4 linked regions of the Arabidopsis thaliana genome follow. The protein of the gene in region 1 interacts with the protein of each later gene in a pairwise test. Each region holds a gene or a part of one and is shown in the gene's direction. Other genes may lie near its edges.

Evidence for each region.
Region 2: the proteins of KT2/3 (region 1) and CPK1 interact in a protein complementation assay, tested with the Arabidopsis thaliana proteins (one large-scale study listed by BioGRID).
Region 3: the proteins of KT2/3 (region 1) and PP7 interact in a protein complementation assay, tested with the Arabidopsis thaliana proteins (one large-scale study listed by BioGRID).
Region 4: the proteins of KT2/3 (region 1) and PUP3 interact in a protein complementation assay, tested with the Arabidopsis thaliana proteins (one large-scale study listed by BioGRID).

Annotation. Positions count from the first base shown.
Region 1 is NC_003075.7:11,744,456-11,753,434, reverse strand, and holds KT2/3 (potassium transport 2/3), read left to right. Parts: upstream 1-2,736; 5' UTR 2,737-3,343; coding exon 3,344-3,570; intron 3,571-3,684; coding exon 3,685-3,903; intron 3,904-4,158; coding exon 4,159-4,317; intron 4,318-4,398; coding exon 4,399-4,456; intron 4,457-4,546; coding exon 4,547-4,861; intron 4,862-4,950; coding exon 4,951-5,190; intron 5,191-5,268; coding exon 5,269-5,784; coding exon of another isoform or gene 5,785-5,850; exon of another isoform or gene 5,851-5,876; coding exon 5,877-5,952; intron 5,953-6,035; coding exon 6,036-6,509; intron 6,510-6,644; coding exon 6,645-6,769; 3' UTR 6,770-6,945; downstream 6,946-8,979. Other genes in the region: LCR85 (low-molecular-weight cysteine-rich 85), read right to left, coding at 619-806, 892-967. UniProt on the Arabidopsis thaliana protein: Highly selective and weak inward-rectifying potassium channel. Plays a role in both loading and unloading potassium into/from the phloem sap. Seems to control sugar loading into phloem via a voltage-dependent process.
Region 2 is NC_003076.8:1,414,167-1,423,056, reverse strand, and holds CPK1 (calcium dependent protein kinase 1), read left to right. Parts: upstream 1-2,502; 5' UTR 2,503-3,179; coding exon 3,180-4,092; intron 4,093-4,209; coding exon 4,210-4,353; intron 4,354-4,448; coding exon 4,449-4,601; intron 4,602-4,762; coding exon 4,763-4,878; intron 4,879-5,033; coding exon 5,034-5,201; intron 5,202-5,352; coding exon 5,353-5,577; intron 5,578-5,928; coding exon 5,929-6,042; 3' UTR 6,043-6,493; downstream 6,494-8,890. Other genes in the region: AT5G04860 (splicing factor 3A subunit), read left to right, coding at 8,598-8,890. UniProt on the Arabidopsis thaliana protein: May play a role in signal transduction pathways that involve calcium as a second messenger. Phosphorylates the Ca(2+)-ATPase ACA2 resulting in the inhibition of its calcium activation.
Region 3 is NC_003076.8:25,557,823-25,564,881, reverse strand, and holds PP7 (serine/threonine phosphatase 7), read left to right. Parts: upstream 1-1,565; 5' UTR 1,566-1,723; intron 1,724-1,957; exon of another isoform or gene 1,958-1,968; 5' UTR 1,969-1,973; coding exon 1,974-2,369; intron 2,370-2,447; coding exon 2,448-2,942; coding exon of another isoform or gene 2,943-2,957; exon of another isoform or gene 2,958-3,030; coding exon 3,031-3,177; intron 3,178-3,252; coding exon 3,253-3,360; intron 3,361-3,450; coding exon 3,451-3,546; 3' UTR 3,547-3,812; downstream 3,813-7,059. Other genes in the region: VPS20.1 (SNF7 family protein), read right to left, coding at 1-123, 258-410, 505-657, 891-992; UVR8 (Regulator of chromosome condensation (RCC1) family protein), read left to right, coding at 6,295-6,388, 6,576-6,762, 6,954-7,059. UniProt on the Arabidopsis thaliana protein: Phosphatase active on para-nitrophenylphosphate (pNPP) and on various phosphoproteins such as myelin basic protein.
Region 4 is NC_003070.9:9,857,964-9,864,031, reverse strand, and holds PUP3 (purine permease 3), read left to right. Parts: upstream 1-2,463; 5' UTR 2,464-2,597; coding exon 2,598-3,287; intron 3,288-3,363; coding exon 3,364-3,729; 3' UTR 3,730-3,741; downstream 3,742-6,068. Other genes in the region: PUP1 (purine permease 1), read left to right, coding at 1-185, 1,470-1,832; ATJ1 (DNAJ heat shock family protein), read right to left, coding at 4,055-4,139, 4,572-4,661, 4,984-5,053, 5,134-5,182, 5,327-5,383, 5,940-6,011. UniProt on the Arabidopsis thaliana protein: May be involved in transport of purine derivatives during pollen germination and tube elongation.

The DNA of each region.
Region 1 (8,979 bases):
CCTGATTCGAGCGTTAAGTTGGACTATCTTCTAAATCACCAGATCATTGGGTCAACCTGATTCAACCACGATTAAAATCTTCGATGAACAAGTGACCCTTAGCTATCTGTTTCCTCGTCACTCCCTTCATCTTGACAGGGCTTATTACTCCTGTGGGGCTTACTACCTTTTTGGTCTCTACTAGTTGGGCTTCTAACCGTCTTTTGTGAATTTGTGGGTTTTGTTTCTAGAGTGGACATTTGTAAGACTTTAGTTAGCTTACTAGTAACCTTTTTAACTTTTGTTGTATGTTCAAACAAGTAACCCCTTTTTAACTAATATGCATCAAACTTTATGAAAACAAAAACATGTACATTAGTGTTTAACACAAAGAAAAAGAGAAAAAAAAATCTAAAAACATTGGTTAGCTAAATACAACAAGAACTAACAAAAACGTTTGTCAACGGAAACACTCCAACTTTATTGGAGACTTGACAACGCAAAACAAACAGAAGCACAACAGAGTACAAGGCAAAACACTCAAAACATATGATGTGATGAAATGAAAGCATAAACATGCAAATAGCAAAACACACACACTCACACACACAAAGCGACGTCGTTTTCTAGCATCTGCAATCACATGCTTTCCATTTCAGCACTGCTCTCTACATTATGGCAGCAATAACAGACACTTAAACCAGGAAAACGAGCATCTGAGCATTCGCCTCCAGTAAAATTGCGGCCCAATGAATTGCATTGTGTATTGCAAGAGAACAACATACTACATAAACCCGCTGCGCTGTCACACACTCTACGCCCATCTACTTGTGTCCAGTCCATATATAGAAAGATGCAACATTTCATTAACATGTATTTATTCTAAATCTTCTTTTAACTAAATTTACGTACCTGTAGGAGACATGAGGAGGATGGAGAGACATACAACTACTGCAACAGCAAATGTGCTCACTCTTAAGCTCCCCATTGCTGATTTCTCAGTTCTTTTTTTTTTAAAACACTAGATATCTCTCAATTCTTCTTTCTTTTTTCCGCTTTGTGATTTATTTAGCGAAGGAGTCTGAATTTATAGCACTGAAGGGAAAATGAGAGGCTCAAACATGTAACTTTATTTTATTTTATTTATTTATGTTATTTGTATTTATTTTTAAAGAAAACATCACTATGCAATTTTATATTGGAACTAGGATTTAACCCGTGGTATACCACGGAGCAAATATTTTATTTATATATATAATAATCTTAAATTTTAAGGTTTTAAATTTTTAGTATTAAAATTATATAATTTTATATTAATATTGTAAAAAAAAAATTAGTGATGATAGAATAATAAATAAAGATTTAACCCGCGTTATATCAATGCAAACCCGTCCCACTATATAACTCGTCTCATAATATTTTAATATCTTTTTATAAGGATAAATATTAATAATGTTTTATAAAGTTAAAATATATCAATAATAATATACCATTAATGCTAATAGATCTCTTTAAAAAAGAATATTAGTGTGTAGTACATTTTAGATTTGGAAAGATTTAAATGATTGTTGTGATATATTTATTTTAATTCTAAATTTTAGTAACAAAATTGATTTATATTTGGATTTGAGAAGAAATTTGTTAAAATATTAAATGCTAATGGCATTGGATGGTAAATAAATCTCAACTTGAGGATTTATTTCATAAAAGTGCTGCAAAAATGTATATGTAGATGAGTAAATAGATCAAATAACTTTCAGTCAACATATTTACAATAAAATGATTCTCCAATATTGAAAATCACATCTGTCATTAGCATCAATAAAATCGAATTTTATTATATAGTATACGTAACGAGACACACATTGAGTCTAAAATATTGAAAATACTCACTATCACATATGTCAACGATAACACTAATTTTTTTTTTTGTATAATATACGTAACGAGACCTGCATTAGATCTAATTTTTAATCGATTAGAGCTTAAATGACATCGTTTTGGTTTGACTAAGAGAATCGTTAAAAATGTTAGAAAATCTGTTAAAGCTTAATAACTGTTTGTTTGTTTTTTTTCTTTCTTTTTTTGTCAATCGAAAATTAGACTATTAAATGACAATTTTCCGTTTAAAATGGCAAGTCCTAGATTTGAAAAGGTCTTTTGAAATCTTTTTAAGAGAATTAAGGGTGAATTAAATATATTCAGAAATTAAAGGGTCGAATTGCAAACTTTCTTGGTTCATACTTGGTCTGCCTTTGTCCCTTTCTTATCTTCTTCGCGCGCTTTTGAAAAAAATAGAAACCCGCCACTGAACGTCAGTCTTCCACGTGTCCTCTCCTGTGCTCTGTTTCCGATCGTCGGAGACATCAATTTGCCTGCTTGTAGGGTGATTCGTCAAATCTATTATCAGGTTTTAAATATACTCGAATTGACTTCCAAATTCTTAGTCTCTAGTGTAATGATTTTGAGAATCACTTAACTCCAAAAATATAATCCACGATCCCGTGTTAATTATTGAAGAATCAATCGTTTTTAATTTCTCACCAATAGATGTTGCTCTTATTACTTAAAACAAATTGTTTAGACAAATGTAGCAAGTGTGATACTTAGTGGGATCTTAAAGACGATTTCTCCTATAACAGAGGACAAACAGGTCGGTCAATTACAATGTCATCCCTCTTTACCCTGTCTTTTTTTTTCTTCTTAAAACCTAACCATTTGATTGTTTCTAAAGGTATTTCAAGAATATATGATCAATCTAGATGAATACTATACCGACGATGACTACACACACAAGGAAATATATATATCAGCTTTCTTTTCACCTAAAAGTGGTCCCGGTTTAGAATCTAATTCCTTTATCTCTCATTTTCTTCTGCTTCACATTCCCGCTAGTCAAATGTTAATAAGTGCACACAACGTTTTCTCGAAGCATTAGAATGTCCTCCTCTTAATTAATCTCCTTCTGATTAGATTCTCAATAGAGTTTAAATTTGTTAATGGAGAGATATATTGGGACCCTCAAGGCTTCTAATTATACCACGTTTGGCATAATTCTCTATCGTTTGGGGCCACATCTTTCACACTTCATTACCTTATCACCAAAACATAAAATCAATCAACTTTTTTTTGCCTTATTGATTGTGTTGGATCCCTCCAAAATTAAAACTTGTGTTCCCCACAAAAGCTTACCCAATTTCACTTCAATCTTAACAAATAGGACCACCACTACCACGTACGGTTTGCATCATACAAACCACAAACTCCTTCTTCATTACAATTATTATATCATCTACTAAAACCTCTTTCTCCCTCTCTCTTTCTTGTTCTTAGTGCTAAATTTTCTTTGTTCAGGAGAAATATAATGGACCTCAAGTATTCAGCATCTCATTGCAACTTATCCTCAGACATGAAGCTCAGGCGTTTTCATCAGCATCGAGGAAAAGGAAGAGAAGAAGAGTATGATGCTTCTTCTCTCAGCTTGAACAATCTGTCAAAACTTATTCTTCCTCCACTTGGTGTTGCTAGCTATAACCAGAATCACATCAGGTCTAGTGGATGGATCATCTCACCTATGGACTCAAGATACAGGTACCATCCATATTGATGAAACAGAGTACCTGAAAAATACATTCTTTATATCTCAGTGACATAAAAGAATGCTTGAATTAGTGATAACGTAAAGAAGTTAAATGGTTGATTCAGGTGCTGGGAATTTTATATGGTGCTTTTAGTGGCATACTCTGCGTGGGTTTACCCTTTTGAAGTTGCATTTCTGAATTCATCACCAAAGAGAAACCTTTGTATCGCGGACAACATCGTAGACTTGTTCTTCGCGGTTGACATTGTCTTGACGTTTTTCGTTGCTTACATAGACGAAAGAACACAGCTTCTTGTCCGTGAACCTAAACAGATTGCAGTGAGGTCAGTGATTGTTATTCATGATCTTAGTTTCACCTTTTTTATTTGATCTGATATCTTTAGCTAAGTGGAAGAAGACAAGGTTTAGGTGACTGTTGAGCCCACACCATGTGATTCTTTTATTTTCATAATCAGTTAGATAGATTTCTGTTTTTGGAATAAACAGAAAGATTCTACTTATATATATTAGGTGAAAAGAAAGCTTTTTAAATAAATGTGTTAGTTCTTGCTTAATGCTATTTTAATATCTCATTAAAGGTACCTATCAACATGGTTCTTGATGGATGTTGCATCAACTATACCATTTGACGCTATTGGATACTTAATCACTGGCACATCCACGTTAAATATCACTTGTAATCTCTTGGGATTACTTAGATTTTGGCGACTTCGAAGAGTTAAACACCTCTTCACTAGGTACACTAATTCCCTATGACTCTATGTCATGTCTCTGATCAAGAAGGTAACAAAATGATTCTATTTTTGGTGTTGTTTTAGGCTCGAGAAGGACATAAGATATAGCTATTTCTGGATTCGCTGCTTTCGACTTCTATCAGTGAGTAAATAACTTATAAGTGAAGGAACAAGATCACATTTCTTTAGATTTTGTAGTTGCAGTACATGATGAGGTTTGAGTGTTTTACAGGTGACATTGTTTCTAGTGCACTGTGCTGGATGCAGTTATTACCTAATAGCAGACAGATATCCACACCAAGGAAAGACATGGACTGATGCGATCCCTAATTTCACAGAGACAAGTCTTTCCATCAGATACATTGCAGCTATATATTGGTCTATCACTACAATGACCACAGTGGGATATGGAGATCTTCATGCAAGCAACACTATTGAAATGGTATTCATAACAGTCTACATGTTATTCAATCTTGGCCTCACTGCTTACCTTATTGGTAACATGACTAATTTGGTCGTGGAAGGGACTCGTCGTACCATGGAATTTGTGAGTCTCACGCTCTATACAAGATTAAGTCTTTTCTGTTTGTATAGTTTGCTCAAGGAAGATCTTATGTTGTTGTTGTGGTGGTGCAGAGGAATAGCATTGAAGCAGCGTCAAACTTTGTTAACAGAAACAGATTGCCTCCTAGATTAAAAGACCAGATATTAGCTTACATGTGTTTAAGGTTTAAAGCAGAGAGCTTAAATCAGCAACATCTTATTGACCAGCTCCCAAAATCTATCTACAAAAGCATTTGTCAACATCTTTTTCTTCCATCTGTTGAAAAAGTTTACCTCTTCAAAGGCGTCTCAAGAGAAATACTTCTTCTTCTGGTGAGTTAATTTTCTGACATGATTGGTTGAGTTTTGGCTTGCTGGATAAGTTTTCTAAACAGAGGTTTTGGTGATTAGGTTTCAAAAATGAAGGCTGAGTATATACCACCAAGAGAGGATGTCATTATGCAGAACGAAGCGCCGGATGATGTTTACATAATTGTGTCAGGAGAAGTTGAGATCATTGATTCAGAGATGGAGAGAGAGTCTGTTTTAGGCACTCTACGTTGTGGAGACATATTTGGAGAAGTTGGAGCACTTTGTTGCAGACCACAAAGCTACACTTTTCAAACTAAGTCTTTATCACAGCTTCTCCGACTCAAAACATCTTTCCTTATTGAGACAATGCAGATTAAACAACAAGACAATGCCACAATGCTCAAGAACTTCTTGCAGCATCACAAAAAGCTGAGTAATTTAGACATTGGTGATCTAAAGGCACAACAAAATGGCGAAAACACCGATGTTGTTCCTCCTAACATTGCCTCAAATCTCATCGCTGTGGTGACTACAGGCAATGCAGCTCTTCTTGATGAGCTACTTAAGGCTAAGTTAAGCCCTGACATTACAGATTCCAAAGGAAAAACTCCATTGGTAACGTTTTGCTTTCACCATAAGCCATTTAAAACCCTTACTCATAATCATCATCACAGCCGTTAATTCGTCGTCTTATATTCATGTTTCAGCATGTAGCAGCTTCTAGAGGATATGAAGATTGTGTTTTAGTACTCTTAAAGCACGGTTGCAACATCCACATAAGAGGTAAACACATCATACTTAAGAACCGTTATGTTTTATGTTCTACTGATATGTTTTAAGAACAAGATTTTATCATAATCTTGCAGATGTGAATGGTAATAGTGCTCTATGGGAAGCAATAATATCGAAGCATTACGAGATATTCAGAATCCTTTATCATTTCGCAGCCATATCGGATCCACACATAGCTGGAGATCTTCTATGTGAAGCAGCGAAACAGAACAATGTAGAAGTCATGAAGGCTCTTTTAAAACAGGGGCTTAACGTCGACACAGAGGATCACCATGGCGTCACAGCTTTACAGGTCGCTATGGCGGAGGATCAGATGGACATGGTGAATCTCCTGGCGACGAACGGTGCAGATGTAGTTTGTGTGAATACACATAATGAATTCACACCATTGGAGAAGTTAAGAGTTGTGGAAGAAGAAGAAGAAGAAGAACGAGGAAGAGTGAGTATTTACAGAGGACATCCATTGGAGAGGAGAGAAAGAAGTTGCAATGAAGCTGGGAAGCTTATTCTTCTTCCTCCTTCACTTGATGACCTCAAGAAAATTGCAGGTAAAGATACAAATTACACAAGTGACTAGAGTTTAAACACCAAATTACGGTTTAGGTTATATGGTGTTAAACCGGTTCAAATTGGTTTTGGTTTATTGAGCTAACCGGGTTTTGGTGTGCATGTGCTAAAAACAGGAGAGAAGTTTGGGTTTGATGGAAGTGAGACGATGGTGACGAATGAAGATGGAGCTGAGATTGACAGTATTGAAGTGATTAGAGATAATGACAAACTCTACTTTGTCGTAAACAAGATAATTTAGAAGTTGAAAAATTATAACGAAATGAAGTTTGAGATAAGAGAGAGCGTGACAAAAAAATGAAAAACAAATTGTAATATTTATATGCGTCCATCAAAGTGAGATGTAACACATATTTGGGTAAGAAACGTTCCAAATAATAAATTTAAATTTACTAAAATAATAAAATCCAAAATGAGTTCAAATTTATTAGAAACCTAATCTACTGTACAAACTTTTCAACTAGGTATATAGTTTCTACATATATGAAAATGTGACGTGACTGTCGTAGTATCAGTATCACATGCTATGCTACGGTTCGAATTTAGCTGAATTATTGAGTTTTTTTCGTATTTTATTTTGGAACATAATTTTTGAGGTTGTACACGTTGTTTTGTTTGCAAGGGAAAAACTTTATTCTTTGGTATTATGGAATAGTCGTCGAGTTGAAGAGAATGATCCACGTGACCTTCACGTGAATAGTAGTTCTATGATATTTCTTTGTCAATGAATCCATAAAATGATGCGACTTTTTTTTGTACCACTTGAAGTTTAGACACACTCCAAACCCTACCTCACATTTCTAGTTTTTGTGGAGTTGATTCTTTCTGAATTAGTATGATGTAAGAAATATGAATGTAACTAATAATAAAGTATTGTGGAGATAATCATATAAAAAATGGACAAGAACATAGAACCAAAATAACATTCAAACTATATCCTTAGATTTGTGATTAGTTTGAAAAATATAATTCGTTGACGAGAAAAATACGCAAAGAACCATATGTATGCTGTCTAAGGACCTACAAAGAAACTCCGTTAACAATTATGGACTGTCGTCGTCCATTACCAAATTTTAGTTCGTGTAGCATTTATCAACTATCCAAATATAAACAACTTTTGAGTATCAGAAAATGCGTTGGCTAAAAGGAACTCGAGCCTAAAACTTCGTTAACCAACATATATAAAACTATTGTTTCAATATTACTATTTTAAAATCAGTTTAGAATGATTTGTATTATTAAAAATTGTGTCATTGAAAGCTAATTAAAAATTTGTAAGTCGTAACATGGGGTGTACGGATGGGGAAATGTGAAAACCTAAAATACCAAATCTATGTAACGTCGAAGTTGCGTGCAGAGAGAAAGGGTTGGGTTATTTACGACATTTCACAATCACGACCCTACGACATTAAATGAGTGTGAGATAATGCTATCCATCACATGGCCTTACATTATCTATGTCTGTTTCCAAACACAAACCAACCAACAAATCTTTTTGCTATTTTTGTATTAATTTTTTCCCATTTGATGATCATTTATATAGAAAAAAATAGATTTATGAGATCTTTTTTATATTTCTGCTAGCTTACATATTTTTTCTTAGTATTTTTAAAAATTTCTTGAACTAGTTAAAATCACAGCCAGTCACTGGTGGTGAACCCGTAATGCTACAGCAGAAAAAGCTAAACAATACGATAAAAAGCGTTTAATACGTGTAGGTCCTATTAAAATCACGTTTCATTCTTTTAACTATTTGTTTCCTTCTGTTTAATGGGCCTCATTCTTGGCCCGTTTACCCCTTCTGGCTGTCTTTTATCGCTAATAATAATGTACTTTGGGACTACATTTGTTTTTTGTTTTTTTTTTGTTTTGACAGCCAACATTTGTCTATTAAGTGTATTGGTGTCGTAAACATAACATAACTTGGTAAGGAATTTGGCAAGACAAAAAAACATAGCAGAACAAAAGAATGAAATTATTCGTGAATGTAGAGAAAAATATCAAACATTAATGATAAGATTCATTCGTTAGACACTCAATTTTAAAAATGGTGGAGATATTAAATAGAATTAAATAATAAAGTGTACTGTATTTATAGATTTTCTCATTGTTGATCACTCATTTTCTATGTTCCGCCAACCTATTGTGATTAATTTTTCCTAATAAAACCACCACTTTATGAAACAATTTGACTATTTCGTAAATTAATCATCAAAAAGTCAATACATTGATTTTGTCGTTTTTATTTGGCACAAACGAGTGAAACTTGATACTAACAAAACAAAGGCTTGTACATAAGTATAGGACTAGGAATATCGAATATGTATAGCATGCGTGTACGTCGGTGGCTTGGTGGTTGTATCTACAATTAAACAAAACTCTAAGTATTCATTTTTCATTAGTTATGAAGTAAAATCCCTAAGTATGTGCTATTCTTATTTTCCATGAAAT
Region 2 (8,890 bases), on another chromosome or scaffold:
ACTAGCCTCATACAAGAAACCAAGAACCAAGCTAGCCAAGAAAACAAGAAATAAGAAGAAGCATACATTGGGGGTAAGGAAAAAGGCAAGATTCAACAGTAGAGAATGGAGGAAGAAAGAAGAACTTACATGTGAGAGTTAGGCAGAGCAAGACCAGAAAATATCTGATTCTTCTTCGCTGAGAATTTTTATATGAGAAAATAAAGAGTAGTTAATAAACGCTTTTAAGCAGATTTGAGAAAGAGAGAGAGAGTGTTAAAAGACGTTGATGCGGTTTTGTGTTGTTTTTATTGGGACGTGGGGTTGGCTCACGTTTTTCCACAAAACATCTGTACCAGTCTACACTGCATAATGATGCATAACGACGAACAAAGCGGCGTCGTTTTAGTTTTTTAAAAAAGTTTCTTTCTTTTTTGACTTCTTACTTTTTTTTATTACTGAAAAGTATCGTACTTGCTTTAACGTACCTTGGACACGTGTCAGTAGGCGGGAGAATCGGATTCCTCGACTCTTATCTCACGCTAAACCGGCGATTCTCCGCCTCCCGCCGCCGCTTCGTCTATCTCTATGGCCTCCGTTGCGAACACTGAACTGCTCAATACGCTTCTACTGTATCTTCCTCATAAGCCTTCGCGAGGTTTCTGAGTCGCTGCTCTGTGTATCCACCGCCGTAAAAAGCTCTCCTTTTTCCTCTCCGATTCTTCTTCTGTCGACTTTGTCTCCATCCTCGGATCATGATGACGGGAATAGGAGCCGTTTGATTGAGGTTAGGGATTTAAGTGCTTGTGATTGTTGAATTGTGGAAGAAAGGAGAGATTTTTCATGTTAATGAAACACTAGTACATATAGACGTTGTGAAGTTTGTTAGCCGTGATTCTATTGGATATTATTTCTGTACTAAGAGAGCATTAGCTAAAATTTCTGACAAGCTTAACTAATTCCAATTGTGTGAATCATTTGCATCATTGCTGATATTTCCTAACTAATATTATGAAAGGTTGAGGCTCGTAAGTTTTTTGCTTATGAACACATTTTTTCAAGGTAAGTTTCTCAATCTTCATGTTGTTGAAACATATGATTCCTAGAGTATCTCTACTCGTACCCCTCTCATAAATCATTGTGTTTAAAGCCGAGCATCTGCATGATATGTAAGGATCTCTTGCGGTTCTCTTCTTGAGTCTCCAAACTCCAGTTGAGATCCCTGGTGTTAGCAATATGGATTTTCTCGAGAATATAGTATTTGATGCTAGGAACAGAAAACCTGGTCAGCCAAAGATTGAGCCAATGTAGGTGTCTTCGCGCATTAGTCAGTTAGATGGTTTTGGACTGTTACTTAGTTGATGGTGCACACTCATATATCTGATATAGAATTGTGTTCATGCAGTTGGAGGATTTAGAGGTGGCGAAAAGAAGCATAAAGAGATTCTTCCATTTCCAAGCGCAACACATGATAAGAAAGGTGAGGGTTTTCTTACCTTATTTTCCGGTCAATGGAAGACACACACTTGAATACCGTCATTTCCCTTTCCCACACTTGTTCTCTATTAGTGTCATAAACAGAATGCCGAATAGGTTACTTTTCATTTTATAGTCATGACTAGGAAATTTTGTTCCTCATAGCAAGATATGGAAACAGTTGTCAATTTAATTTCGTCATAGTGAAAAGGATCAATCAAGGAACAAGTACGGAAAAGATTGAGAATCTCTGTAATAAGGATCATCTGTTTTTGGAGGTCCTTGGATGTTTACTTGATCAGGACGTGGCAGAGGCAATGAACAGACTTTTGTCACCAAAAAACGCTGTTGTGATGATTGATAATCTACTATCAGAACATACTGCACTACATCAAACCAAGTCTCATACACATCATAGTGAGCGTCTTTGCCACAAATCATATCTTCTTAAATACTGATTCAAACCACCATCTCTTGATAACAATAGTGAGCTTCGTTTTTGTTTTAGGCAAGCATTCTTTCCATATCAAATCAATAACAGAGTGTCCAGAGATTCATACCGTTCTATTGCAGTAGGGACATCTCATTGGCTTATCTACTGGAAAAAGGAAGGGTGCTTGAGTGTTCCGTTAGGACCAGCAAAAACAATGGAAAGTGGTGATCATGATGTTTAGAACACCAAACTCGCCGTCTCTACAATATTAGTTCTGGTCTAGGTTTTGATCTTCAATAATAGCTGTGGTCGGAAGGAGTAATTAGGGTAAAACATAAGGGCGAAGACAAGAATGTGTAGAGCATGTGATTTGTTCAAGCTTTAACATGTGGATGTCTTATTTTTAATGACTGCTCTTTAATATGTGGGTTTTGTTTGCGCATTTTTCACTTGCGGGTTATATTTTTCAAAAGTAGTAAATGATGGGACCATTATAAAAAGGATGTTATTAGGACTCCAGAAAGGAAATTGATTTTATGGAAAATCACCTTTTTACCTCAAAGTTTTAATATATTACTAATTAAGTACCCTTACATAAGAAGCTGCGTTGCCAAGATTGAAGAGGGTGGTGGACTTTGTAATCAAAGATTAATTAAAAAGAGAGTTAAGACAAATCTCAGCGGAAAACTCGGCGGTGATAGATAATCAAAACAAAAGAAACGCGTTTTTCAAACTGGTTCAATCTTCTTCTTCGTCTTTCTTCATCGTCTTCTTCTCTATACAGACCTTGACTCTCTCATTAAATTAACAAATGTCCCTACGGTTTATGCAAGTGTAGTGCTATTAAACTATCCCTTTTATTTTCCCACCCAACTCAATTTATTTTCTCATTCTTTCTCTTTACTCTTCTTCAGATCTCTCTGTTTCTTTCTTTGTTGTTGTTATCTGGGGATGCTTTCTACTCTCTGTTTGGTTTCCTTCATTGTGACTTTCTATTTTCTGGGTTTGTTTCAAGTCATGATTTTTCCGATACCCTTTTGATTTTTCTTGCTATTTCTCACCTCTGTATAAGCAAGCTCTCTGCTGTTTCTCCTCATCCAAGTTGGGTTTATCAGTTCAGCTGTGTAGAAATTCAATCGTCTGAGAAGTCCGAGGTTTGATGTCTGATGGTTTTAAGATCGAAAGGATTTGACTTTTATCAGATTAGTAATGAGATTAGATTGTTTTTGAGGTTATTGTAATCAGATCTTGATGCTATTTCTGGTGAAAGAGATTTAAGACAAGTTAGGGAATGGGTAATACTTGTGTTGGACCAAGCAGAAATGGCTTCTTGCAATCTGTTTCAGCTGCAATGTGGCGGCCAAGAGATGGAGATGATTCGGCTTCCATGAGTAATGGAGATATTGCAAGTGAAGCTGTTTCGGGAGAGCTTCGATCTCGATTATCTGATGAAGTCCAGAATAAACCTCCTGAACAGGTCACAATGCCGAAGCCAGGGACTGACGTCGAGACCAAGGACAGAGAGATTCGAACTGAAAGCAAGCCTGAAACGCTAGAGGAGATAAGCCTTGAGTCCAAACCAGAGACTAAGCAGGAGACCAAGTCAGAGACCAAGCCGGAGTCAAAACCTGATCCTCCAGCTAAACCTAAGAAGCCTAAACACATGAAGAGAGTGTCAAGTGCAGGGCTTAGGACTGAGTCAGTGTTGCAGAGGAAGACTGAAAACTTCAAGGAATTCTATTCCTTGGGAAGGAAACTCGGACAAGGGCAATTTGGGACGACTTTTTTATGTGTCGAGAAGACTACGGGGAAGGAGTTTGCCTGCAAGTCGATTGCTAAGAGGAAGCTATTGACTGATGAGGACGTTGAGGATGTGAGAAGAGAAATTCAGATAATGCATCACTTGGCTGGTCACCCTAATGTCATCTCCATCAAAGGAGCTTATGAGGATGTTGTGGCAGTGCACCTTGTAATGGAGTGTTGTGCAGGCGGCGAGCTTTTTGACAGGATCATTCAACGCGGTCACTACACAGAGAGGAAAGCGGCTGAGCTCACTAGAACCATTGTTGGGGTTGTAGAGGCTTGCCATTCTCTTGGTGTTATGCATCGAGACCTCAAGCCCGAGAATTTTCTGTTTGTCAGTAAACACGAAGATTCCCTCTTGAAGACGATTGATTTTGGACTCTCCATGTTCTTTAAACCAGGTTTGATTTCATTGTTACTCATCTTAAAAGATCCACTTCCAGATTTGGTCTTTAACGTGAATAGTGTGATCCTTGTCGAACAATTATTTCTGAACTCGATTCCCTTCCTCTTTGCAGACGATGTTTTTACAGATGTTGTTGGTAGCCCATATTATGTTGCCCCAGAAGTTCTTCGAAAGCGTTATGGCCCTGAAGCTGATGTCTGGAGTGCTGGAGTGATTGTGTACATTTTATTAAGCGGAGTTCCTCCATTCTGGGCTGGTAAGAATTGTATATATACAGATAAGAGATTTGTCACTTTTCCTAACTAGGCTCTGAACAACATCTCTAATCTTTTTGTTTCTTTGAACATTCAGAAACCGAACAAGGTATTTTCGAACAGGTCCTCCACGGTGATCTTGACTTTTCGTCCGATCCATGGCCAAGTATATCTGAAAGTGCAAAGGATTTAGTGAGGAAAATGCTTGTCAGGGATCCCAAGAAAAGGTTAACTGCCCACCAAGTATTATGTAAGTTATTTTGATCTGAAACCTTCTCTTCCAGTTAAAGCGCTGTGATTCTCTTTCTGTTAATTCCATTGAGCATAGATTTCACTACATGAATAAAGTGTGTTGTCATGTAGAGTGATCTACCATCGTTCTATCTCTTATGGAGTTGTGCTTCTTCTCAGGTCATCCATGGGTTCAAGTCGACGGTGTGGCTCCAGACAAGCCTTTGGATTCTGCTGTTCTGAGCCGTATGAAGCAGTTTTCTGCAATGAACAAGTTCAAGAAAATGGCTCTTAGAGTAAGCAGCTTTCCGATGCTAAACAAAATTTAAAACCATATAAAAGAAGTTCCTGTCATAAACATAAGATAGCTACATTTAACCCATCTTCCTCTTGTTATGTGGAAAGAAAGAGACGACGGAGATTAAGTTTCTCTCTTTATGCCTTTTTGCAGGTCATTGCTGAGAGCTTATCTGAAGAAGAAATCGCCGGCTTGAAAGAAATGTTTAATATGATAGATGCGGACAAGAGTGGTCAGATAACTTTCGAAGAACTGAAAGCAGGACTAAAACGAGTAGGGGCGAATCTCAAAGAGTCTGAAATTCTCGACTTGATGCAAGCTGTAAGTTTTAACCGGCATACCAGTTCCCTAACTAAGATTCTGAACTGATCTTGTTATCATTCAAACTTACTCTGTTGGTTGTGGTTATATACTTCTGTTTTTGCTAGATATGCAAGTAATCTGGTTTCTCTCTCATGTGTATATAATTCAGGCTGATGTGGACAACAGCGGAACAATAGATTACAAAGAGTTCATAGCTGCAACATTACATCTAAACAAAATAGAGAGAGAGGACCATTTGTTTGCAGCCTTTACATACTTTGACAAAGATGGGAGCGGCTATATCACCCCAGACGAGCTTCAACAAGCTTGTGAGGAGTTTGGTGTTGAGGATGTCCGCATAGAAGAACTGATGCGCGATGTTGATCAAGACAATGTAAGTTCCTTTACACCTTTTATCATCTCATCCTAATTATAAAATGACTTGAATACTTCTCAACAATGATCAAATTTCAATGGATTATATACATTTTACTCATAGGAATCTCACTTATATGATCCTCTTAAATCCTTGCATTATTAAAACTACACTTCACTTACCGAGTTTTCATGTCTGTTTTCTTGGGAAAACTGAGACGATTGAGTATGATTCTTGTTAAACCTAGGGGGATAGTAGAAACTCTCTTTCCTGAGAAACAGTGAAGTAAACCGAGTTTTCATGTCGGTTTTGGATTGATATATTGGTTGAATGTTGATAATGTTGAACATTTGAATTGTTGTATTGTAGGACGGGCGAATAGACTACAACGAGTTTGTGGCGATGATGCAGAAAGGAAGCATCACAGGAGGACCTGTGAAAATGGGTCTAGAGAAAAGCTTTAGCATTGCTCTTAAACTCTAGTTTCTCAGTCTATTTAAAAGTACAAAACTAAAGCCAAGAAGACAAAAGAGTTTTCTGATAATATATACCATTTTGATTATGTTGAAGACATATGCACACAGCCAAGATTCTCTCTTGCCCTCTTTTGGATTCTCTCAATCTTTTGGATGAGGTTTTGTCTTAGACTTGTTTTGGAAACTTTGTTGTATTGTGTTACTTCTTGAGCATATATAGTCTTCTAACATTACAAACCACGATTTCTTGTCTGTAAGTAAATTCAAAGAGTCAAAAAACTTGAACACGATTTGGAAATTTTGCGATAACGATCATCAAATTTTTGTGAGGGCTTTTTCTTGTAAAGCAAAAAGTTTGAGTATTTATGTGAAAATCGTTTAAAAGTTGAGGTACTTCTATGTAATTTCCCAGTTTTCTTTTTTTGAGAAATAAAATAACTTAACCGAATTTCAATTAATTTGTTGTCCGAATTATATAATTCAAGTCCTTACCGAATCTAAGCTGAAATCAAATTAAATTATAAGCAGATAATTAAATTGGTCACCGAAAATAATAGCCACCAAACCTCCTAATCCTAAACACGTAGTATTTTGAGATCTTTATTTTCCATTTACATAATTAATTTCTTTTTTATGATTGGAAAAAACGAATAAAATGATCTTTTAGCTAGTGTTTTTGGTCAACATAAATACCTAACTTACTCTTTAGAACAACAAAAAAAATGGAGGAAAAATATAAAAGTGGGTCTCACAATCAAGTTATTTCTCCAAAAATAAATAATTTAAAGCTTGCGTTTGTTGTTGACATTTAAAAATGTTTATTTTGGGGTACGACTTTTTAATTTATAAAATTATTAAATTGGTTTTATTTAAATAAACTGATTAAATTGTCTATTTCAAAACTGCGTCCCTATCCCTTTTAAATTTCCTAATTTCAGTCCACAAAACGTGATCATGATTACTGTATCATAAAGTTTTATTTGTGTAGGGGTCTAATTGTTAAATATGTTGGTCCTTGTTTAAAGTGTTAATTATATTTGAAAAATATAAGTAGTCTAGTTTACTTTTTCTAACTTTTATTGAAAAATGAATCATTGTACGTATTAAGTTAGTTTTTTTCGGGATTTTCAGTTCCTATGAAAAATGAACAACACATTACACATATATATAAACATGCAACTCAAAATATCGAACCCTAAAAACCTCATATTGTTTTAGAATGTACGTGTTTGTCACAACATCAAAAAAATACTCATCACATAAGATTTTTTTTTTTTTTACGCTGGATTAAAATGTGGTTTTATTTTCCATTACAAAAGAAGTAAAAAGCAAAAAGGATCATGGGAGCATGAGTTAGTGTAGGGACTGTATTAACTTTAAGGCAATGACATATGGTTAGGACTTAGCAGCTAAATCTTTATGAATTAGGACATACCTAACTTATCCTTCGTGTACATTAAAAATCTTATCTTTCACATGGATTGGACAAAATAATAGCTTAGCTATAAGCCTATAAGATTTAGTTAACACTACAAATTTTATTAATTTTCTGAGTAAGCAAAAAAAGAAAAGAACAGTTTCTTATGAGGGGTCGAAATAAATTTGTGAAAAACAATTGATGCATATTAAAAGTCATACTTGTGAAGTTTGTGATCAAGATTTAAAGAGCCTCTAGAGTCTATTATAGATATGAATCCTGCTACTGGCTGCAATTTAAAGAACTTTATGGAAACAAAATCATTAGAAAAATCTAGTCAGAACTTACAGATAAAATAGTTGACACAAGTTTTTTTAATCGTTATTAATTTTCCTTTACTAAGTCAAAAGTAATAATTTTGGTAGCTTTAATTAACACTGTAAGCAAATATGGCAGATAATATAAATTCCTAAACTTTAGCCATAAAAAATCCAACTTTACTCAATATAAATGGCCGTTTTTACTAGTTATAGCATTTATTGGGTTTATCTATAAATGCAATAAAAGATTGACTTATTCCTCACATTTCTCTATATTAAACCGGATAATCTTATAATTACCGGTGAACAAAATCTCTACAATAATATTTACAAGAAAAAAGAAAGAAAGTAACAGACTACTTGAAAATTGTAGTTACAAAAAAGAAAAGAAGGTAATCACACAACGTTAAATAATTTTCAGTTTTAGAATTAATTATATTTCTCTAAAATGATAATTATATAAAGCTTTTATACTAAAAACAGAGAAGAAAAAAATGTCAAACATAATTTTAAATTATATACATTATTTAATTATTGTAATCAACAATTTAATATTACCGTCCTTTTCTCTCTCTATCTCTATAAGGGTTGACTCTAAAGAAAACAAACGCAGAGATTCCTTCTCTCTACTCTTTTCTCTCTCTGTCTCTCACTTTCTTCAAATTTCAAATATTTTGCGTCTGAATCACACCGCGTCCACCAAATCCTCCATCTCCATCTCTTAAAATCCGATTCTTTCCTCCGCAAATCTCGATTACTCCAACACCCTTTTTCTCTAAGATTCCAAACCTTTTAGGTTTTTTGTTGCAGCCACTTGTGAATTGTATGGTGGTCAAAATGAAACAGATCATGCGTTGGCCACCGTGGCCTCCGCTCTTCGCCGTTAAATTCGACGTGATCGTCGTTGTTCACCAGATGGATGGTTTGTTGGATTCCGATGGTGGTGGCGATGATAGTACTGATCAGAGTCAGCGAGGAGGAGGGACAACAACGAGGAAGAGACCTGTTGTTGAGATCAAATGGAAAGGACCTAAATCGGTTACTCTCAAACGCTCCGTCGTACGGAATCTCACCGAAGAAGGTGGATTTCGCGGCGATGGCGTCGTTGAATGGAACGA
Region 3 (7,059 bases), on another chromosome or scaffold:
ATCTTCCTCATCCTCTGCTGATAGTTTCTCTCCCAATATAGCGTTCAGCTCCTGACATTCGGAAATGTAAATAGAGTCATCAAACACAAAAGCTCGACAAAAAAGATTATAGAGGTTTTCACACTAGACGAGCTCAGAACAAACTGTGCCACACAAAGCAGTGATCAAATAAGAAGATATTTACATTCTGACAAAGCGGATAACGTAATAATGAATCATAAACAAATGATACGAAACCCGAAAGTATTTTGACTCACATCTTGATAAGCTTTAGCATCAGCAGTATCATCCATTAGTTTTTGAACATCATCAAGGTCCAATTCGCTTTGAATGGCCTTAATAGCACTATTACCCTGCTTTAAGCTCTCAAACACTGCCTTTTGTTTGCTCGTAAGTTCAATATCTGTTAACTGCGAGTTCACATGAAAGTTTGAGAAAGCCATAATTATGCATCAAAAGAGACGATGCCGGATACAAAACATACACACAAGGAGAAGGATTTACTTGTTGTTCAACATTGATGACCCATTGATCCACTTGCTTCAATAACTCTTCTTGAGTTCGTTTCTTCCTCAATGCTAACAAAGCTCTGTCCTTTCGCTTTTCACGGATTAAGTCTCTTGCAGCTTGCTTTTCCGCTTCAATTACTTTCTCAAGCTAAATTAGCAAAAAAAATGAGAAGATCGGTTAACAAAGAGATGAGCCAAAGAACTCAAAAGCTTGAGTCTTTCTTTTCCATCACACTACTAACAATCATAAGACACATATTGTGAAACGAATCAAATCCAATCTCCAATTAGGATTTTGGATGAATCAAAACTATATGATCTGGGTTCCAAAAGAAATTGTAACAAAAGAAAATTAAGATATAAGAAGAGAGAATAAAAAACCTTCTGCTGATATTGACCAAGCTTGCGTCTTTGGGTTTTGAGAGAGAGAATCGCTCGATCAACCTCCGTGATCTGTGGTTTCTTCACGAACAAATTCCCCATCTTTTCTTCACTTATCGAAACCAACGATTCGGAAAATCAAACGAGCAGAAGAAAATTTAGCAAGATTTGATCTTTTGACGAAATTGATTATTAGTCTCTAGATTTCCCAAAAATGTCGCCAATTTCAAACCAAAGTCCAATTTTTGTGTTTCTTCTCTCTTTCTGCTTTTCAGTACAAATATCTCAAAATAGAGGAAAAGCATGAACCGGACCGAAAAAATGTAAAAATCGATATCGAACCGATTTTAGTCGGTTTGATTTCATCCACACTGAAAAATAAAAAAATCGAAACCAAACAAAAATTCCTTGGATAGTACCGTAAACAAAATCAAGCTGAAATCGATAAGTAACCGAATAGACCAATGTATAATTCGGTCTCCCAATTTTGTTCAAGTTTATATCAAAACCAGAACAAACCGGTTGGCCACCTTTAACAAAATCTCGAACTCGCGTTTTCGATAGCGCGTGATTGCAAAACGCTATTGCAGCGTCACGACAAAAAAGGTTTGTTCGTTTATTAAACCGGCCGGTTTGGAATCATGAATTTGATTTGAATCCTTTTAGCTGGTTAACCGACGTCGTTTGAGTAAATGGATCCAAAGCCAGACAGATCCTAAATCTCGTCGACGACGGTGTCGGGACTGAAAGCAGAGAGAAAGCAAAGTAAGCTAGCTTAGCTAGGTCCAAGATCCAAGCTTTGGAATTTTGTAAATTGTCTCCACTCTTAGCCGGTGAGTCTCACTCTGTTCCGAATTATTCTTTGTGATATGGATTTCGATTTCCCATGATTCGATTTTGTACTTTTTGCTCTTCTCTTGAGTTTAAAGATGTACGAATGAATATATACAGATTCGATTTTATGTTCTGGTGGCTTTGATCGCTGAAATTTGAAAACTTTGTCTATGTTTCGATTGCTTGATACTCTTGTTTCACATGTTCATACTCTGGAATTGATTATAGATTAGTGTTTTTACAGTTTTAATGGAAACTGTTCCACCATCTCCCATTACATGGCCAGATGGGGGAGCTCTCACTAACGACTGGGTACATGGGCTTATGTCGTGTTTCGAATGGTCTTCATGGAATCTACCTCCTTCCCAGTTACCTTCACTATTGCCTGTCAACGTCTTTGATTCCCTCGTCCTCACCGCTCATAAAATCCTCCACAAAGAACGTAACTGCGTTCATATCGATGATCTTGACTCTGTATCCAACGTTGTTGTGGTTGGTGACATTCATGGTCAGCTTCATGACCTTCTTTTCCTATTGAAAGATACTGGCTTTCCTTGTCAAAACCGGTGTTATGTTTTCAACGGAGACTATGTGGATCGCGGTGCTTGGGGACTTGAAACCTTCCTTGTTCTCTTGTCCTGGAAGGTAAACTCTTTACTAAGCTGTTTTACTATTGGCTCAAGTCTTAGTATTCTTAAAGCACATATCTTTTTGGTTGTTTAGGTTTTGATGCCGGACAGAGTCTACCTACTCCGTGGTAATCATGAGTCAAAGTATTGTACATCTATGTATGGTTTCGAGAAGGAAGTGCTTACAAAATACGGAGACAAGGGAAAACATGTGTACCGGAAATGTTTGGGTTGCTTTGAAGGTCTTCCTTTGGCTTCCATAATTTCTGGACGTGTTTATACAGCACATGGAGGGCTTTTCCGCAGCCCAGTCTTGCCTAAGCGAACAACAAGGGGGAAAAAGAACCGTCGGGTAGTTCTTCTGGAACCTGAGCCGAGCTCAATGAAACTCGGTACCTTAGATGAGTTGATGCAAGCTCGAAGATCAGTTCTTGATCCTCCTTGGGAAGGTTCAAACTTGATACCAGGAGACGTTTTATGGTCTGATCCTTCAATGACTCCGGGCCTTTCACCAAATGAACAGAGAGGCATTGGTCTTCTTTGGGGTCCCGATTGTACAGAGGATTTTTTGAAGAAATATGAACTGAAGGTGACACCAAAGTAGATATTGATGCTTGTTTGCTTCCCAAATACTGATATGGATGATTGGATCAAATGTTTTACACTTATTGGTGCAGTTGATCATCAGATCACATGAAGGTCCAGATGCTAGAGAGAAGAGAACTGGTCTTGGTGGAATGGACAATGGATATACAATAGACCACAATGTCGAATCCGGAAAGCTTATCACTATTTTCAGTGCACCTGACTATCCGCAATTCCAAGTATGTATTTTTACGCCTTTGGTATTTGCATTTTCTAAAGATATGCGTTAACAATCATTTTTGTGTGTGGTGTAGGCAACAGAAGAGAGGTACAAAAACAAAGGAGCATATATTATTTTGCAGGCGCCTGATTTCTCGGATCCTCAATTTCATAGTTTCGAAGCTGTTAAACCGCGACCAAAGGTAACTAACTTACGATGCTGATAATGAACCAACGAGTTGTTTTACTTCTTTGATACACATACATAGCGACATCGGTTTTTAAATGTGCAGGCGCATCCATATTATGACTTTGAAAATGTCATTGATTCTGATGATGAGATGGATAAGTCAGCAATGGACACCAATAACGAACAACCAAATAGCTGACCGAAGCTGAAAAGGAGTATCTTGAATTGATGTTTTTTACAGTTGTTGTGATTGCTCATTATTTGCAAACATAAAATGGAATCAAATGTAAAGAAAAGAGATGAAGAAAATCATTTGTAGAATTCACATTTAAGTTATGTATGGAAGATGAAGAAATAAGAACCATCTTAAATCTCATGTAGTTCTTAGTTTCTTGGTTCCTACACGTCTTATTTAAACCTAAATCTTGTAAGATTTTGCTCTGTTTTGTCAGGTTAGCCTAAATCTTGAGAGGTCAAACTTGCAGTAACTTTCATTGTATAGAATTGCTTTTAACTGAATGATAAATCGAGTAGTAGATTAGTCCAATGGAAGTTTGTGGATCAAGTTATGTGTCTGTCGGCATTATAGTTTTCCTTTGAAATATTGACACATTACTAGAATCTTATCCAACAAAAAATTGTGTGGTTATGAAAATCCTAAGTAACGAGACAGCTTATTAAATGCCGAATTTGGTAGCAATTTGTTCAGATGAATGTATGTCTTCTTGTAAAAGACAGTATGAAGTGGAGGTTGATGCTAACTATCTTATGGTTCCTTATTGCACTTTGAAGCATTTATTGCAATTGTTTTCGGTTTTTTCTCTTGAGTGGGCTAAACTAATAATGGTCTGTTCTTTCTCTAAAGAGAGAAGAATTCGACAGGAGCGTGAAGCATCTTCATTCGCAAATATAACACATTAAAGCTACCTCTAGCATCATCTGTGTGATTCTCTCCAAGGTCATTCGTTGTCTGTCACGGGGCATCTCAAGTAATAAAGCTTAAAGTTAACTGTCTTTTCAGCCAAATAGTTTCATCATCTAAATATTCACATGATCTTCCATATTTCATCACCGATTATGGTTACAACATTTTTGCAAACCCTAAAATTTGTGTTATCGCCAAACTTGACCCTTATACCGGAACCCATGTGGGTGGGTGTTGATTTTTACTGTTTTGTAATTTGTTCATCGACAATCATTGACATGTACTCACCGCAATGTTTTTTCTTTCCTAGTTTCATGTGCATATATGTCTCTAAACAGTAATTGTTTAGCACTTCATGTCAAGCTTAAATTATTATAGGTGTCTTATCTTGTCTCTCTAGTATTTTCTGTTGAAGTCATGTGCATTAAATTGTATATAGTACTTCCAATGGCTTTCATATAATTTCCATTTTTCCACAAATTGTTCGTAATGATGTTTATTTAACAAGATTATAAAAGATAATGCAACAAATTTGTGTGATGAATGATGAGATGAACCCATTTGAAAGAGGTCGCAACAAATGTCAACATTAGAGACCATCTTGATCTAGAGTTTTGTCTCGTTGACTTTAATGCCAAAATTGGACAATACATATAATGCATGTATCAGGCAATGCAAAAATATCTTCATTCATTTAATTTTCTTACTATAATAGATGTCACAACTTCCCTCACTGACAAGCATATAATGTTGGTTTTATCTCAATGTAAACAACCTTTTAGTTTCACATAAATGTTAGGTCGAGCGAGGTGATATATTCGTTCCAGATCGGATGAAACAAGTAATTCATCGATGTTACCTTTATCCATATGTATATGTAAGATTATGGGTTTTAGGTAATCTAGTAAGTACTACTAAGTAGTATCCGTATGTAATTTTTTATTTATTTTTATCCGTTATGTATAATTTCTTTGGCCGTTTTCGCAAAATCTATATTTGGATGTTTTAGATCGTGAATTGATATATCTTAATTTGAATATTTAGGTATTCATATATTTTGAATCTATAGTTGACCTGTTGACCATGTATTTTGATTTGAATATCTCGCTCGATCGATAGAAGATTTTTTTTTGTTTTTGTTTTGTTGATAGTAGAATCTTCAAGTTGTAATTTAACAAAAAAAAAAAAAATCAAGTTGTAAGTAGACCGTATATCTGTATATTTCCATATGTAGAACCATGCATTTTGAATAATTGAATAAAATAACATGTAGCAAGACGTATCTTCATATGATAATCAGAATCATAATAAAAAGACAAACTGTACACCATATTGTAATCCAGGTTTAATTTGACCTCTTTGAAAAACTAAAATAGCTGAACTGAATATTTATAACTAAAAAGACAAATTGGATATGTCACTTTGGACTATGAAACTCAGAATTTTTTTTGACTAACGTGTATACTTTCACACGTGTGCATGACTAAAAACATATGATTAGGCTCTTACGATCTATGCGCCTTACACCTGTGAATGATGAACACATAAAACACAAGTTACGATCTAGAATGTCATGTGTACTGGCTTAAATCTACTTATGTGAAGAGGTAAATGAAATGGTCAAGAAACAAAAAAAAAAAGAAATGGTGAAATTATGAAAGTATAAAACTTTACCGGTGAGGTCCGTATTTGGATTTATTAAGTGAAGAGGGACCCTTTTGCAATTAAAGCCTGTACGACAAAAAAGAGATTTACTGTACGGTTAAAACAAAAAATAAAAAAACCAGCAAAAGTAAAAAAGTCAAAAAGCAGATATATGACATGTGCAAATCTCCATCGCGCCTTTATTACCATCTACCGCTTTCTCTCTCTGTCTTTCCTTGTTCAACCCTCGAGAGATTACGGATAGTGAAAGAGAAGCTACAAAATTTCCCAATTTATCAAAAAATAGAAATTTCTTACTTTTTTCAAAATTCATTTCTCCCCAAAAAAAATATCTTGTGAAAACTGCAACTGTGATCCATGGCGGAGGATATGGCTGCCGACGAAGTTACGGCTCCTCCTCGTAAGGTTCTTATCATCTCCGCTGGTGCTAGCCACTCCGTCGCTCTTCTCTGTACGTCTCTCTTCTTCTTCGCTGTTTTTTTTCCTTTTCTATTACGGACTCAAATAATCACCGGAATTGTGAAATCCGCTGCTTTAGTAGGCTGTGCTCTTCGCGAATTCTCTTGATCTGGCCTTTAATCGAGTTTCCCTTACTTTCGTCGTCTACTAATGAGTAGTTTTATGTTTTGATTTTGTAGCTGGTGACATTGTTTGTTCTTGGGGTCGAGGAGAGGATGGACAGTTAGGTCATGGCGATGCAGAGGATCGACCTTCTCCGACTCAGCTTAGCGCTTTAGATGGCCACCAAATTGTTTCCGTTACCTGTGGTGCTGATCACACTGTTGCTTATTCACAATCAGGCATGGAAGTCTACAGTTGGGGATGGTTTGTTTCTCATCATTATCTTCTTCTTTGCTGCTGAATCAATTGCTCTTCAGTCTGTTTGATATATTCGGGATGAGATGATGACCACTAGTTCCTCTCTAGATTTTTGTGTAGAAAACAGTAACTAATTATACACTCATTTGCACATATTTTAAGCCTCGTGTTCTCTAACCTTTATGTGTACTTTGCAGGGGTGATTTTGGGAGATTAGGCCATGGTAACTCAAGCGACTTGTTTACTCCGCTACCAATCAAAGCATTGCACGGTATTCGGATCAAGCAGATTGCTTGTGGGGAT
Region 4 (6,068 bases), on another chromosome or scaffold:
TTGGGTTCTTGATGACTGTGGTTGCAGCTCTTCTCTATGCTTTTATATTACCGCTCGTTGAGCTAACTTACAAGAAAGCTCGTCAAGAAATCACTTTCCCACTTGTGCTTGAGATTCAGATGGTCATGTGCCTTGCTGCTACTTTTTTCTGTGTCATTGGCATGTTCATCGTTGGAGATTTTAAGGTAAGAAATTTACAGTTTTTTTCACGTTGTGTTTTTAGTATAAGAGAGAGTATCATGGGATGATCTTGATAAAAAAAATATTATGCAGATTTTGATGAAGACTTTAGCTGAGTTTTTGGATTCTCTATTTTTAATGTTTTTCTAAATTATATAGTTTTTTTGTTCATTTTATGATAGAGGCCAAAATTTAGTCTGGATTCCCAAGAAATGAGGAATACTAAGATTTGTTCTTTTGTATTATTAATGGAGAAAATCCATGGAAACAATTATATATATAGAAATTATTTCAGAATCATTGGTACTAGACTATACTAGTCAACCAAGATATATTGGTATCTGTATTTAAACATTTTCTAAATACATATGGATATTATAGAATATTTAACAATTTTAATATAGATTTCCTGGTTATAATAAAATATGTGATTTTATGTAATATTTGTCTTCCTGATCTTTTATTAAAAACAAATATTATATAAAATACAAGATAAAGGTTTGAGCAATTTATAAAATATTTAACAATTTCAATAAGGTTTTATGTAATACTAGGTAATCACCCGCGCTACGCTGCGGTATTTTCAGATTTTTTGTATCGTATAATTTAAATATAATTTTTAATTATCTAATCATTTACTTATGTAATAAGTAATTATTCTTAGTATTAAAATATATTTTTTCTAACAACATTCTCAACAATGCATTATACACACAATTCCTAAACAATGTTCATCTTAAACTAATTAAATAGAGGGTAATACTGGAATTCTCGAAACCTAAGAATTTGATGATTAAATTTCTTACATACTCTTCACCCTCGGCGATTTATTATATAGATATATAACAATATGCAAACTATTCAAACTATTAACTAATCCATGACTACTATACACTCATAATTTGAGTTAAGATTACAGAAAAAAATCTTCTGAGTATGAGAAAACCAATAAAATTATTTTATTGAACAACATGTAATAACAAAATAAATTTAGTATTAGTACAATTAAATATGTAAAATTAAATAATAAATACATCATTAATCTATAAATTAAAAGTTGAAAGCTTACATTAATTATTATGTGGACACATGGCACATGTTAAAGTGATGATGTGTCAATCATATGGAGAGAGTTGGCCAACTTTCATATATATGATTTGTCTTCCTTATCTTTTATTAGAAACATTATTTAAAAATTGTTCAAACCTTTATCCTGTATTTCCATATCTATTTAAAATTATGATTAAACTTGAGAATCAACTAAAATCATCATCATACATGTTTTGTAGGTGATAGCAAGAGAAGCAAGAGAGTTCAAGATTGGAGGATCAGTGTTTTACTATGCATTGATAGTGATCACAGGAATAATATGGCAAGGTTTCTTCTTAGGAGCCATAGGGATTGTGTTTTGTGCATCATCACTAGCTTCTGGTGTTCTGATAAGTGTTCTGCTTCCGGTGACTGAAGTTTTCGCCGTCGTTTGTTTCCGGGAGAAGTTTCAGGCAGAGAAAGGTGTCTCTCTACTTCTTTCTCTTTGGGGATTTGTCTCTTACTTCTACGGCGAGTTTAAATCCGGCAAGAAAGTTGTTGATAAACCTCAACCGCCGGAGACAGAACTGCCTATTCTTCCTGTTAGTGATTATGTTGCTTAATTTCTATAACTCTATAGGATTATAACAGAGCATTACTGTTATGTTTTGTTCCTAATATTATGTGTGATTGTGTGTTTTGTTATTGTTCTTGTGTATAAGTATGAATAAATTTGAAAGATATTGAGCTATTTGATAAATGCAAATTTTAATACACTTGTAGTAGAAATAGAATGATAATGATAAGTAAAAGATAGGATATTTCGTATTTGATAAAATCACATCCTATTTATCGATTTTATAAAATAAACATTTCACACTTTTAATTTAAGATTAATATAATTTATCTATTTAATATAAAAATTTGTATATAAATCAAAGAACTAATATAGAAAGAAGAAGAGAAAACAAAAGAGATAGAGTCAAAGAACCAATTAACCATCCTTAAAATCTTCTAATTATAGAGAGAATTATGAACTGAAAATCTTAATGTCATTGCACTAAATTTAGAAAGAAATAAATCCAATAATCAAAACTGTAGAATTTGATGGAAACGTAAATTAATATGAGAGATATGATATTATCTGGTCTATAAGATAATTACTACGTTTTTTATACGAAATTAAACAGTTAGCAAAATTTATGGGTATAAAATAGGAAAAGTCATGTTTTAGCCATTGAAGCCTCGTTAGGTAAAAAGAAACACAAAGATCTATCACGACAGAATCTAAAACCGGACCAAATTTGTTCCAAAACACAGCAACACCAAACCTTATAACTAACTCCTTCGACCACCAACCTTCATTATCCACAAGAAATCAGACAAGAATGGTGAAGGCTCTTGTGATCATAAACTGCATAATTCTAGCCATAGGAAACTGTGGAGGTCCTTTGATTATGCGTCTCTACTTCAACAATGGCGGTAAAAGGATTTGGTTCTCTACGTTTCTTGAAACTGCAGGCTTTCCTGTTATCTTCATTCCTCTGCTCTTCTCTTACATTACCCGGCGCAGAAGCAACAATGTGGGTGATAGTACAAGTTTCTTTCTTATCAAACCGCGTCTTCTTATCGCCGCTGTTATTGTAGGCATTCTCTCAGGGTTTGATAACTACTTGTATGCATATGGTATAGCTTATCTTCCAGTTTCTACAGCTGCTCTTATCATTGCTTCACAGTTAGCTTTTATAGCTATCTTCTCATTCTTCATGGTTAAACATAAGTTCACTCCTTTTACCATCAATGCTGTTGTGTTGTTGACTGTTGGTGCTGCGGTTTTGGGAATGCATACCGAAACTGATAAGCCAGTTCATGAGACTCACAAGCAGTACATAACTGGTTTCTTGATTACTGTAGCAGCAGCTGTTATGTATGCTTTCATCTTGCCATTAGTGGAACTTGCTTACCAGAAAGCTAAGCAAACCATGAGCTATACCCTTGTGCTCGAGTTCCAGTTGATTTTGTGTCTCCTTGCTTCTATTGTCAGCGTCATCGGTATGTTCATCGCTGGTGATTTCAAGGTTAGTCACTCTTTTGAATCTGAAAACATACAAAAGAGTTTTTAACAGAGACTTGAGCCCTTTACTGTTTTTGCAGGCCTTACCAAAAGAAGCAAGAGAGTTCAAGCTTGGAGAGGCATTGTTCTATGTGGTGGCTGTGTTTTCAGCCATCATATGGCAAGGCTTCTTCTTGGGAGCCATTGGATTAATCTTCTCCACATCGTCTCTCGTCTCGGGTATTATGATATCAGTGCTTTTGCCAATTACAGAGGTTTTAGCTGTTATATTCTACCATGAAAAGTTTCAAGCTGAGAAGGGACTTTCTCTTGCTCTCTCCCTTTGGGGCTTTGTCTCTTACTTTTATGGTGAGATAAAGTCTGGCGAGGATAAAAGGAGAATTCAGCAGGAGGAGAGTCAGGAGACAGAACAATCTTCTTTGTCAAGACCCATAAGTGAGTGTTAAAACTCAACGAAGCATGGCTTTTCGTTTAAAGACATCATAGCACTCATTTCTCCGCCAAGTAGATTAGAAGATATGTTTGAGAAACTTGTGGGATTATGCCGAAAACACAATCTTAAAGGACTTTTTTTTTTCTTTTCTTTATTTCAGCTTAACTTGTTTGATGTCTCTTATTATTCACATCAAATGAGTTTGTAATAGAATTATGAGGTCAAACAATGACACTCTCTGTTATGCTGGTGAGCTTTTTGTTCTACCAGCAATAGATGAAATTAGTCTTCATTTGTCTTCTGTTGAATGCTTTTATCTTTCATCTCTCGTGGTGGCTTCATCCCATTAACCTGCTCAACAATAGCGCCAGCAGCACCATTAACGAGAAGTCGCGGATGATCTGAGGACCCGTTAGATTCCACCTGTAAGTTCAACCAGTAGAGAGCTTCTGGTAAAGCCTGTTTGGTTCATATTCATGATTCTTCATTACTATAAGGAACAATCGCTAGTGAGGAAATAACATTCAGTTGAATCAAAATGTAAAGAAAAAGCCCCAACAGACATTTTGGCTTTCTTACACTGTTTCCCTTAGAGCTTCTAGTTATTTCTTATAAGAGAACCTAGGTATCTCATTTTTCAATTATGTCTTGTTGTTATCTACATATCCGCCTTTTCTAACTCTTATTTCTAAGCAGGCCTAGAAAATGTACCAGTAATGTATAAGCATCACTAATTCTTCTATTGTAACCAACTACATTCCTTTGAGGTGAATTATACCAGATGTCCATTTACGTCTAACCATCTAATATTACACACAATATGCTGTTATAAACACAATAATAAAATTTACTTACCAACTTCCTTCAGCAGAGTCGCTCAACTCATTGTTGATTTCTTCCTTTGCAAACTCTTCCAGTATAGCACGCTGACGTTCATTCACTTCACTAGTAGATACAAGGAAAAAAGTAAACCGCATAAGCATATACCAGAAATCTATCAATATTAGCTCTTGACGGAAATGAAAAGAAGAGAATCCAACACATCCACATGCCACCAGAACATCAAGAAGCTTATGTAATCAGATTTAATAATCAGACGGCAGGGAAATTAACACAATGTTGTCCTAGGAAAATTATTTCAAAAACCGTAACTTTAGAGCAACAAAGTGTCTTTTCCATTCTAAACACTAGTAGAGTTTTTAGCATAGCATAATGTGGATGTCTCCAACAAGTGTATTACTTGAACTTCAAGTAAAAGAAATCTTACGTAGGAAAGTTAACGCGGAAGCGAACATACTGATCTCCATGATCTACAAAAAAGCCTTGCTTCGGTAGTCCTGCAGGAACTAACCTATTAAGAAGAGTACACGCAAATACACAAAAAAAATTGAACATATAGGCTGATAATTATATGTACCTTTGCCTCTTAAAACAAGAAGTTGATCAGGCTGAGTCCCCTTTGGTATCTGCAACAATTACAATAAGGTACCTCTATTATCTCCAAAGCCTTGAGATCTAACCTTCCTCTTGGTCAGAGGATGAAAACCAACTTGACTCAAATTATAAACAAACAAAATATTATATGAATCTCACTGGGAGACGAATCTTACATCTAGCTGTATCTTGCCTGAAAGTGTTGGCACCACAACTTTGCCCCCCAAAATAGCCTGTCAAATAAGTTTTCTAAGACATGTCCAGTATGGCTCAAGGGAGAAATAGTAGGAACAACGTGAACCATAAGAGATGAAAGGATGCACTATAATAGAAAAATACTGCAGCCGAGGTACTATGGCTTGGTGGCAAAATAGTGCAGTAGCATGCACTTGAGTTTTATGACTGGGGCCATCAAATTGAGTTTGAACCGATATGCCACATTATCTAGTTTAGAGAATAAGCGCATCATATACATAATGATAAAGATGCTACTAGCTAATATTATTAAACCTAGTAGTTTAGTAAACTTTTGGCACATAAACCAGTTGAATAGGACAAAACTCATTAATTTTCAGCTAGACTCCAGATAACTTTTCTCTAGTTTATGTCCTCTAAGAGGTTTTATTTTATCATAGGACATGCCTAAATTATGTTACTGCAGAGCTTTATCAGCTAGCAGTTAAGGCTTTTGAGTTTTGACCACAAAGTGTCACCATGCAGAAAAAACATGAGTTTCGAAGGTACTGCTCTGCTTATAACCCAAAATTCAGGATTCACCAGTGTGCTTACTTGTGTAAAGCTAATATTAGCATCCACATATATATCTGAGCCATCCCTAGTGAAAGTTGAATCATTAGCAACCTGTGACCAAAAGAAGATTAGATACGTGTCAATAAAGGAAAATTCAGCATGCAGTAA